3 linked regions of the Oryctolagus cuniculus genome follow. The protein of the gene in region 1 interacts with the protein of each later gene in a pairwise test. Links are inferred from orthologs where the notes say so. Each region holds a gene or a part of one and is shown in the gene's direction. Other genes may lie near its edges. The genes, in order: ATF4, CCDC106 and EGLN3.

Region 1 (3,742 bases):
CGCCGGGTCGCCCACGTGGGCGCAGGGGCGCAAGCACGGCTCTCCCGGGCGCATCAGCAGGGAGCGGGCGGGACTCCCGGGATGGATGCGGGGTCGCGGTGGCGGCGCGGGAGTCCCACCCCCACCGCCTTCCTCCTGACCCCCGGGCAGAGTGCCGCGCCCTAGGCCTCGGCCGCCGGTCAGTTCCGGGAGGAGCCCCCTGAGGAAGCAGAGTGACCCCACAGGGGTAGCCGGGAGTGGGGACCCCGAGTTAGCGTGGCGGGAGCGCGTCCCGCGCGCGGGCCGGGCCCCAGCACGGCCAGTGTCCGCCAACAGACGGGGGCGCCGGGGCTGCCCGTGCACCCTGGGAAGGGTGGCCCTGGCCCCAGGGCAGGTTGTCTGTCCAGCCAGCAGCGCTCGCGGAAGGGACGCGGGAGTGGAGCTCTGCGGGCCGGGGCCCGGCTCCCCGGGAACTCCTGTCCCCCGCAGGGCCACCGGGCCTTGTCCGGAGCTCGTGGGAACCACCCGGGGTCGCAGCGGGGCTGAGCCTGCAGAGGCCAGAGGCGTCCCCGCAGCGACGCCCTGCAGCAGAAAGGGCGCCGCGGACACGCAGGCTGGCCAGCGGCTCGCGGAGGTCAGCGGGAGGACGCAGAGCCGGCCCCGGACGGCGGCAGGCTCCCCGGCCCCGAGGCCCGGGCCCGCTCGCGGCGGGCTCGCTCGGAGGCCGCTGGGCGCTGATTTCTACCGCTGCGGCCGCCGAGGCTACAACCAAAGGCACGGCTGCACGCCAGGCCGCTCCCGCCCTTTCCCGCGCAGACCCGGGCCCCTTCGCCGAGTGGCCCGCCCCCCTCGGGCCCTGAGCCAATAGGAGCTCAAGGTATATATGACTCCTCAGGCCTGAGCCAATCATCTCGACGCGCGCTCCCCGCCAGCGTCTCGCGCGATAGCCGGGCGGCCTCGGCCTTCACAATAAAAAGCCTCCTTGGAATGAAAGGCTCTTCACGCCCCGCCCCTGAGAGAGATCCCTCCGCGCATCCGGGCATCCGAGGGGGAAAGGACGAGACTCTTTGATCTTGGACGCCTTGTAAAGTAGTGCGCCTTTTTCCCGACGTGAGATCTTGAAAGTAAACTACTTTTCTGTACATGGCTACGCCTCGGACATAAAAGCTCGGGGGAGGAAAGTGGTGGGGACGCCGGGGAGTGGGCAGGAGGCGCGGGTCACATGGCCGCGGCGGAAGGATGCGTCCTGTGATGCGGCTCGGAGGCGACCAAGTCTATAAAAGCCCGGCGGGCCGCGCGCCGCCGCCATTACCGCTGCGCCCGCCCGTCGATGTAGATCTCTTGCGAGCCGTGCCCTTCCTCCTCCCGTCCCGCAGGGCCGCGGCCACCATGGCGTATTAGAGGCAGCAGTGCCTGCGGCAGCGTTGGCCTTTGCAGCGGCGGCAGCAGCACCAGGCTCTGCAGCGGCAACCCCCAGCGGCTTAAGCCATGGCGTGAGTACCGGGCCGGGCGAGGGGGCCGGGGCCCGGCGTCTGCGGGCCCTGGGCCTGGGCCTGGGCTTGGGCGCGGCCTGCGGCCGGGGGTCGGGGCCGCGTCGCCGAGGCGGAAGCGGTTTTACGAGCGCCGGGGACGCGTGGTTCCTGCTTGCGTGTCCTTGGGCGGGGTCGGGAGAGCGCGGCCCGGCGCCCGCGTCCCCGGGGAGGTGGGGGCGCGCTGTCCTCGGAGCCCCGGCCCCCGCTCTGCGCCGGCGGGGGTCGCGGTGGCCGCCCCGCGAAACGTGGCGGCGGCCAAGATGGCGGCGGGAGGCGGCGCGGGGTGAGTCACGGGGCGGGGCCGGGCGGGCGGGCCGGGCGCCGGCCCCGGCGGGGGCGGCCATGGCCGCTGTGCACCTGCCGCCCGGCCGGCCCCCGCCCTGATGGCGCCCCTGCCGCTCGCCCGCAGGCTCCTCACGGCACCCAGCAGCAGCGTTGCTGTCACGGACAGAGACACCTTCGAGCTGAGCCCCTGCCCCGGTTCCAGCGCAGCCCCGCGACACGGCCGACATGAGCTTCCTGCACAGCGCGGGGTTGGCGGGGGACTTGGCGTCCCCCTTCGACCAGGCGGCTTTGGGGGCTGAGGAGGGCCTGGGGCTCCTGGACGACTACCTGGAGGTGGCCACGCCCTGGAAGCCTCCCGGGCCCCCCGGCGACAAGGCTGCGGCGGGCTCCTCGGAATGGCTGGCGGCGGACGGGCTGCTGGGCGCCCCCGCCGACGGCAAGGGTGAGCGCCGCGGGGGGTGGGGGTGGGAGGGGGCGCCCGTGTCGGGGGGGGGGCGCCGGCCTCACGCGCCCTCGCTCGCGCCCCCGCAGAGGACGCCTTCTCCGGGACGGACTGGATGTTGGAGAAAGTGGACCTCAAGGAGTTCGACTTCGACGCCCTGCTGAGCTTGGACGACCTGGAGGCCGTGCCCGACGAGCTGCTGGCCACGCTGGACGACTCGTGCGACCTCTTCGCCCCCCTGGCCCTGGACGCGCTCAAGGAGCCGCCCCAGGCAGGGAGCCCGCTCGGCCCCCTCCCCGCGAGCCTGCCGCAGGTCGCCCCCTGCACCTTCCTGCAGCCCCTGCCCCTGTCGCTGGGGGTCGCGGCCGCCTCCCCGGATGAGTCGTTCAGCTTGGAGCTGGGCAGCGAGGTGGACATCGCGGACGGGGACCGGAAGCCCGAGTCGCCCGGCCTGGGCCCCGTGGTCCCGCAGGGCGTCAAGGAGGAGGACAGCCCCTCCGACAACGACAGCGGCGTCTGCATGAGCCCCGAGTCCTGCCCGGGCTCCCCGCAGCGCAGCCCCTCCGCCCCCACCCCCAGGGGCTCCCCGCACAGGGGCCCCCCCGCCCCGGCCCGCCCCAAGCCCTACGAGCCTGCGGCGGCCGCGGCGGCGCGCGTGAAGGGCGAGAAGCTGGAGAAGAAGCTCAAGAAGATGGAGCAGAACAAGACGGCCGCCACGCGCTACCGGCAGAAGAAGCGGGCGGAGCAGGAGGCGCTGGCGGGCGAGTGCCGGGGGCTGGAGGAGCGCAACGCGGCCCTGCGGGAGAGGGCCGACGGCCTGGCCAAGGAGATCCAGTACCTCAAGGACCTGCTGGAGGAGGTGCGGGCGGCCCGCGGCAGGAGGAGGGTCCCCGCCTAGGGCGCACGCACAGGAGGCTCCGCTGTTAATAAATTATTTTGTAGTGAAAGCATTCCTGGGAGTTGTCCTGTGGCTCACACCCTCTGGGCGTGGTGGGGCGGGCAACAAGAGTCCCACGCGGGATGGTGGGATCTGGTCTGGGGCGGGCACTCACTCCATGAGTGGCTGCAACTTCCTTGTTCGGTGTTCCTGTGTGTGTGTGTGGGGGTGGTCACTGGCTCCAGCCTGCACACACACAGATCATGGGAGAGCTGTCTATTCGAAGGCAGAGTTGGAGACGGTCCTCCATCTGCTGGCTCACACACCCAATGGCCACGGCAGCCAGGGCTGGGCTGCAGCAGAAGCCTGGAGCTGACAGATGCAGGGGCCCAAGCACTCACCACAGCAGAGAGCTGCAGCAGCTGGGATTCGAACTGGCACCCACATGGGGTTCTGGCACTGCAGGCTGCTTCACCTGCTATGCCCCAGCACTGGCCCTGAGCTGGGGGGCCAGACCCCGCTGTTCTGGGCCAGCCGTTAGGGACAGCCACAGTCTGGGACCGGGACCCATTGTCAGATTCCCCGAATCCTCCACATGAGTCTCCCTTGTCTCAATCTCAGGGAGCC
Region 2 (3,648 bases), on another chromosome or scaffold:
TTGCCTGCTCCGCGCGAGCCTCCCGCCGCGAAGGGGCCGCGGCTGTGCCCCCTACCCCGCCGTCTGACTGTGGACAGGTGCGGGGGCGGGCTTGCTGCGCGTGTCCACCACCGCGCGGTGCCGGGAGGGGTCGGATTCCCCCATTCTACAGGTGAGCACACTGAGGCCGGAAGCACGTCCTCCGGGCTGGCACGCAGCCTCTGAACCCCTCATTTCCCGGGGAGAGGGGGACCCTCCCCTTCCTGGGAACCGATCGTGGGGTCTGCCCTGGCCGGGCCCTGGGTACACACACCACGATCTTCCTCCTCTTCAACTTTCCCACACCGCCCTCCCCTTCTCGGGGGACCGTCGCCACCCACCCGAGGGACCCCTGCAGCCAAACCATCTCGCTGGGATGGGAATTTCGTGACGCTCCCTGCCTGAGCTTCGTGCAGGGCGGGGGAGTGCTGTAAGGGGCCGTCGCGCAAGTGCGGCCCCCGGCCTCTGCCGAAAACGGCGGGGTCTCACCTGGGTGCCAGGGCTCCGGGAGGAGAGGCGCCGGGCCGGCTGGACCCTGCCTCGCCGAGTTCCCCGCGTCCCGCTCCGCCGCCCAGTCCGGAGACCCGCTCCGCCGCCGCCCCGCCCGCTCGCGGGCGGGTGGGCGCCTCCCTTCGCTCTCTGTGACACTTTGCAGACGCTCCCCCGCGCCGGGCATGGGCGCCGCCGCCGCCGTCGGTCCGCGGCCCAGATTCCGCGCGCGGGTGGGTGAGCGCGGGCAGCTCCGGCCCCTCGGACCCGGGGCACGGGGCGGGGGAGGTGGGGAGGGGGATGGTGGCCGCGTCCGCACCCTTGGCCTATTATTGCAGGGACAATCCCCCCCCCCGCCACGGCCGCTCCCCCTCCCACCCGCGGGACAAAGGGCGGGGGCGGGGGGCGCATGCCCACGCGTGACCTTCCCCCGCACTGCGCACGCGCCCAGCCCCCCCCGTCATGGGGGAGGGGCCCTGCTGGCTCCAGGCGAGTGCGGGGGAGGGGCGTGGGACGACCGGGAGCCGGGAGTCGCCGCGCGTGGGCCGAAGTTGGGGCAGCTTCTCCCTGCACCTGCGGCTCGGTTGGGCCTGCAGAGACCCCTTGCGGGGGGTCCTCGCCGTGCGGGCCAGGGGCTCCCTGTGCCCCAGCAGCCCCGGGGTGCCCAGGCCCCAGCCGTCCGTCCGGGTCTCGGCTAGGCGCCCGCAGCTCTGGGTCCTGGAGCATGGGGTCCCCTCCCCCCCAGACCCCGGGCGGGCCCCTCCATCTGTGGCTGCTGTTTCTGTCCAGTGCCCCTGAGGCGCTCCGCTGCGGGGTCCACAGAAAGCCCGGCGATGAACGAGCGGAGCGGCCGGAGGCGGACGAGTGAGGACGCGGGGCCGCGGTGGGGGGCGGCCCCGGCGGGGCCTGCGGCCGCCTGGCGCGTGACCGCGGGCCTCTCCTGTCCAGTGAAGAAAGACGATGAGGGCTTTGAGGTCTCCGTCCCCTTCGAGGAGGCGCCCCCGCTGGACTCGCAGCTCTTCTACAGCCTGAACTCCTCGCAGGCGGGCTTCGAGGGTGAGCGGCGGGGGCGCGGGGGCGCGGAGGCGCGGGGCCGCCGGCCCGCAGGGTGACCGGTGCGCTCCCCGCCGCAGAGCCCGCGGAGGCCGCGTCGCCCACCCTGGCCCTGATGAACAGCGTCAAGGCGCAGCTGCACCTGGCCCTGGAGAGGAACTCGTGGCTGCAGAAGCGCATCGAGGACCTGGAGGAGGAGCGGGACTTCCTGCGCTGCCAGCTGGACAAGTTCATCTCCTCCGCGCGCGTGGACGCAGGTGGGCGCGCGGGCCGCGACCCCGTGCCCCTGCCCCCTCCCGTGCTGGTCCAGGACCAGCAGCAGCCCGGCCGGTTTACTGGCGGACCCACGCGTGCTGACCGCCGCCCAGCCCCAGCGGGGCCCCTGCTGCCCCTCTCTCTGCGAGCCCCCTCCTCCCCAAACCCGGCGCCACGCACGGGCCCGTGGTGCCCGTGCCCACGCTGTCAGGATCTGGCTGTCTCCCCCGCGGATGATTCCCGCGACGGTCGGGCCCCTGGGGAGCCCAGTACAGGGCCTTTCCAGCACCCGTGTCCCCGGGGAGCGCCCCCGGTGCAGCTGGAGGCCTTGGCTGTCCCCGGCCTACCAGGCCCAGAGCCCCTGTCTCCCGGGCTCCCACTGCCCTCCAGGGGCTCTGCGGGTCAGCGCGGCCGCCAGGCGTCCGGCCTGGGCCCGCCGTTCACCTGCGGGCTTTGCTCTCCCCCGCCCCCCATCCCACCCCCAGAGGACCACTGCCGGGCCAAGCCGGGGCCCCGGCGGGCGGAGGGGGACAGCCGCGGCGGCGCGGGGGGCGAGGCCTCGGACCTGGAGTCGGCCGCCTCGTCGCTCAGCGCCGCGTCCGAGGAAGGCAGCGCCGGCGAGAGGAAGAGGCAGAGGCCGCGGGCGGGCGCCGGCCGGAGGCGCTTCGGGAAGCCCAAGGCCCGGGAGCGGCAGCGGGGTGAGCGGGGGCCGAGGCCCCGGGGCGCGCGCCCTGGCCCCGCGCGCCGCGGCCCCGGCCCTGACCGCCGCCCGCTGTCCCCCCGCAGTGAAGGACGCCGACGGCGTGCTGTGCCGCTACAAGAAGATCCTGGGCACCTTCCAGAAGCTCAAGAGCATGTCGCGGGCCTTCGAGCACCACCGCGTGGACCGCAACACCGTGGCGCTGACCACGCCCATCGCCGAGCTGCTCATCGTGGCCCCCGAGAAGCTGGCCGAGGTGGGCGAGTTCGACCCCTCCAAGGAGCGCCTGCTCGAGTACTCGCGCCGCTGCTTCCTGGCCCTGGACGACGAGACGCTCAAGAAGGTGCAGGCGCTCAAGAAGAGCAAGCTGCTGCTGCCCATCACCTACCGCTTCAAGCGGTGACCCGTGCTCGCTCAGATCCAATAAAGAAAGACGAGAGACGTGACGCTCGGGCAGACGGCGCCCGGAATTTAAGTTAAAAAATTAAAAATAAAACAGAGACGTGACGCTTTGGCACAGACTGGGCCCCAGCGTTTTCCTCGGAGGGGAAGCGAGGGGTTGGGGAGCACAGGGTGGGGCGAGCCCCCCGGGGGCGGCGCCGTGCGTTAGCGGCGCGGGGCCCGACGACCCCCGGCATGGGCGGTCCCCGGGCGCGGCGCGGCGTGGCACGGCGGCCGTCTGCCGCCAGGGGGCAGCAGCGCGACGTTGGCCGCGTCCCGGAAGTGGTGCTTCCACCGCCTTCCACGCGTGCGCGCGGCGGCAGGGGTGCGAGAGCGCGGACGCAGTTGCCAAGACAACCGGGAGCGGGCGGTCGTGCTTAACGGTCGGGAACTCGGACTCCTTTTAGGCAGGGAAAGCCTCGCGCACGCGCAGTGGGGGCCCTGGAACCCGACACCGCCACCCCGCCTCAGACCGACCTCCGCGCAGCCGCAATAGCCCGCCTCAGCCCCTGCGCAGGCGCGCAGAGCCGCGCTGGCAACCTCCGCAGCGGCCGCGCGCGCCCTCCAGCCCGAAGGCTGCTGCTGCCTCGCGCAGCCGCCTCAGGCGCTCCGGAGAGTCGGCCCTTCCTTCCTTCCTCTCTCCCATCGGGAGAGCCAGGTGCCGAGAGCCCGGACCCCGCCCCCTTCTCTGG
Region 3 (3,642 bases), on another chromosome or scaffold:
ATCCAGCCAGTGACTGTTTGTGGCTTGAGTGACTTTCATTACTGGCTCAGTGGTGGCTCTAACAATCCAAATAGCCGCTTCCAGGGATGGTGGGTAATTCCCTGCTCATTGGAAGTGACTTCATTTATCTCTTCCTTTCCAGCTTGGCCCAGCATCTCTGCTACCAATTACGTGTCCATCGTTTGTTAATTTATTGCAGTTGCCTTGACATTCCACCTTCTGAAAGACATTCAAGCTAACAGTCGAGCTTCAGTTCTAGGGATGACATTGCATTGATATTTTGGTGTGCGAAGGCAGGATATAGGCATTGCTAATTCATGAAGTTATAAAGTGTGAGAGATAATGGTGACTTAAGGTTTTAGATGTCTCTAAAGCCAAGTCACCATTCAGCCTTATTATTCTAGCTTGCATTGTATGTGATGCCTTGTGCCATGTTTTCATGCTGCTGGGGGGAGTGATTTAGCAACTACATTGAAGCTTGTCCATTGATCCGTTAGCATGTTAGTTTGGGGCTCTACCCAACTAGTCATTTTACTAATGAAGCCATTCTGTCACTTGTCAGGGTGTATATGAACTGGATCCCTATATGTGTGTTTGGAGATAGGCTTTTTAAAATTATAAAAAAAGCAATCAACCTAGGTGGAATGTGAACTTATTCGTTAGCGAAACAGCTTCTCACTAATTCATTGATTCATTCACCGGATTTTAAGAGGATTCTTCGTATCGGGCACTGTCCCAGGTACCAAGAATGCATCAGCAAACCGAGCAGGAAAGAAGTCTTTGCCGATGTCTTACGTTGCAGGTTTTCTTAGTTTCTCTACATATATCACAGACCTATAAAAAATGTCTTTAAAGTACGGCAGTGTCCTGTGAAGACAAGAACTGGCTTTTTGTACTTTGCCCCTTTTTCCCCTACTCTTACAAAGTTCCCCTGGAACAATCAGGTTTGTTACCCTCTCAGAGGATTTTCAGGAAGGCTTTCTGCTTTATTCCTCCAGCTGTATGATACACAGAGGAGGAGGGCTTCATATTAGCTCCTCATTTCCGAATTCCCAGGTAGGAGGAAGAGTATTCAGAAACATACTGTAAGTGTTTGGTTTTCCCTGCGGGGGATTCCGCTGCGTTGTCTGTGCTAACACATTAGCCTCTTGTTGACCCTTCTCTTTCCCTTCTGTCCTAAACATTGTATTGAGCAAGCCTGACCTTTTTGGTGATTGGTTCTTCTCGCAAATACAAGGATCTAGCTGTTCTTGTAAGACCGAGTGATACGGTGATTCAGAGGCATTCATTAAACAGACATAATCCCTAAGCTGTACCTCTCATGATTTTGGTTTTGTGGACCTAGAATGGTAACCATAAGTGGTTTTCTCACCAAAGGAGTTTTGAAGAAAGGCAGAGCATCGTGTCCATGGACAGAAAGAAGACTGTCAAATGTCCTAGAGCTGTGGCAGTATTGCCACACCACTTCCCTCTGGGCTGAGCCACAAGGCATGACCTGGCTGTTCATCTTACATGCTGGGGAGTCCAAACAGACACACTACACATGCAGCTAGGAAGCCAGCAGCCACACATGTCATACATGTCATACATATCCAAGGAGACTGTGTCACTGTCTGCTCACCAGTGGGAGGAGAAGTTTGTTTCAGTGTTGTTAACCAGCTTTCTTGGGATTTCCTCATAGGCGATGGTGGCATGCTATCCAGGAAACGGAGCAGGTTATGTTCGCCACGTGGACAATCCCAATGGTGACGGCCGCTGTATCACCTGCATCTACTACCTGAACAAGAACTGGGATGCCAAGGTACCGTGGAATAATGGGAGTGTGTGTGGAGTTAGGAAACGATGGAAAAGAATTCAGATAATTCAGAGGAGAGTTTTGAGTTCATAATAGCTCTCTATCTCCCGCTGATGAATCTTTCTATGTCTCTCACGTTTTCCTTCCCCTCCTCCCCACCCTGGAATTAGTGCTAGAATTGGTGAGATGAAGATCATGTATGTGAAACTGCCTTGGGGGTGGGTAGCTACGGTGATTATTAAGGGGTGGGATGGGTGGTTGACAAAGGGAAGGTAATTTGATGTTAGGATTACAGATGGATTTTTTTTAGTGTAATTCAGAGCTGATATGAGTCTCACTGCAAAATAGGATGTACATGTTTCCCTCCCAACAGTAGCACTGAGAGGACAGCACAAAAATAGAACTATAGGATCCAAAGCAAAACCATCCCCAAGAGAGAGCTCCTTCGCACGCCTCTTTCTCAGGGTGCTACATCTCATTAATGGCTGCTTGCCACAGCATACTGTGCTTTATGAGTGCCAGAGGCTTGGTGGCTTATTTTTGTATTTTAGAACACGTAGAGAAAGAGGAAAATCAAAGTCTGGCTCCATGTGTGCCAGCATTTGTCTGGACTTTGTATACTTTCTGAAAGTTGAGTGTGATTTAGGACTCTGGGAAGTTGGAGGACTTTGGAAGCTTATTTGGCTTTTGAACTTTCTGCGACTCCATTTCCTGTTCTTTCGGGGCAGATGCTGGCTGCCATAAAGCAGTGATATTTTCTCCAGGGTCATAGAAACGAAACCTGGGAAAGCAGTGAGTGAGTGACAAGGCTTGTCTCTTCGTCTCCCTCTTGAGTAACATGACTGAAACACATCCATTCGGTCCCCTTGAAAACCCTGTAGGCAAGAGCGTCAAGTTATTAGGTCAATAAAAACAATGCGCAGAGCAGAGTGTGAAGTCGTTGGACAAAGATTTGAGTTCCTTTCAGTGATAGGCATTGTGCTGTAGGGATGCGCTGATACAGAGGGCCGGAATGCTCCTTTGATTGTAGTAATTCTGGGAAGACAGATTGAGGACACATGTAGAAAAAGATGAGTAATTCAAGAAAGAGTTAACGTGTAGTAGGAGGGGCTGATAAGATGGTGGAAGAAAAGAGCTTATAACTTGTGCTAACAGGGTTGGATAGGAGCTTGGGGAATTTGGCAAAACCTGTGAATTCCAACTGGAGAAGTGGGAATCATCTTAGGAAGCTACTGCTATTAGATGGAACCATATGAAACGGCTGGGGTTGGTTGGTTGGTTGGTTTTGTTTTTGTAAGTCAAAGTCAAAACCACTCACACATTGGCACTTCTCTGTGGTCCATTCTAATGCTAATCTATTTTGTGTCCATGAGCTGGTTTCATGATCGCTCAGTGGCAAGGGTTTGATTGGAAATGAGGTGCATAAGGAGAAGTTTCTTAGCCAAGTTTGCAATACAATTTGGTACCAAGGGTGAGGAGGAAGTAAAACTCGGAGAATGGCATTGTTTCCAGGTGGGGCTGAAATGTTGTTGTTGATAAACCCTGTGTGAGGCCAGGAAATGATCTACCTTCTTGTGGTCCTGCAGCTACATGGTGGGATCCTGAGGATATTTCCAGAAGGGAAGTCGTTCGTAGCAGATGTGGAGCCCATTTTCGATAGACTGCTGTTCTTCTGGTCGGACCGCAGGAATCCACATGAGGTGCAGCCTTCCTACGCCACCAGGTAACGGTGGGGCTATGATTCCTCTTCAGGAGCTCATGCGGGCCCCAGTTCCCAGGGGACGCTCTGAATTCTGGTGCACAGGAGTTCCTCACACCTCGGAGCCAATGGCAAATGCATCTGGAGC

Evidence for each region.
Region 2: the proteins of ATF4 (region 1) and CCDC106 interact in binary tests that used the Homo sapiens proteins (3 or more experiments, as listed by UniProt). The link is inferred for Oryctolagus cuniculus from reciprocal best matches to the Homo sapiens genes ATF4 and CCDC106.
Region 3: the proteins of ATF4 (region 1) and EGLN3 interact in a two-hybrid assay, tested with the Homo sapiens proteins (2 studies listed by BioGRID). The link is inferred for Oryctolagus cuniculus from reciprocal best matches to the Homo sapiens genes ATF4 and EGLN3.

The regions. Positions count from the first base shown.
Region 1 is NC_091442.1:115,754,948-115,758,689, forward strand, and holds ATF4 (cyclic AMP-dependent transcription factor ATF-4), read left to right. Parts: upstream 1-1,268; 5' UTR 1,269-1,472; intron 1,473-1,920; 5' UTR 1,921-2,021; coding exon 2,022-2,238; intron 2,239-2,327; coding exon 2,328-3,136; 3' UTR 3,137-3,188; downstream 3,189-3,742. UniProt on the Homo sapiens protein: Transcription factor that binds the cAMP response element (CRE) (consensus: 5'-GTGACGT[AC][AG]-3') and displays two biological functions, as regulator of metabolic and redox processes under normal cellular conditions, and as master transcription factor during integrated stress response (ISR).
Region 2 is NC_091449.1:3,340,487-3,344,134, reverse strand, and holds CCDC106 (coiled-coil domain-containing protein 106), read left to right. Parts: upstream 1-1,340; coding exon 1,341-1,563; intron 1,564-1,640; coding exon 1,641-1,817; intron 1,818-2,300; coding exon 2,301-2,513; intron 2,514-2,601; coding exon 2,602-2,918; 3' UTR 2,919-3,034; downstream 3,035-3,648. UniProt on the Homo sapiens protein: Promotes the degradation of p53/TP53 protein and inhibits its transactivity.
Region 3 is NC_091443.1:41,531,708-41,535,349, forward strand, and holds part of EGLN3 (prolyl hydroxylase EGLN3), read left to right. Parts: intron 1-1,681; coding exon 1,682-1,801; intron 1,802-3,381; coding exon 3,382-3,518; intron 3,519-3,642. UniProt on the Homo sapiens protein: Prolyl hydroxylase that mediates hydroxylation of proline residues in target proteins, such as PKM, TELO2, ATF4 and HIF1A. Target proteins are preferentially recognized via a LXXLAP motif.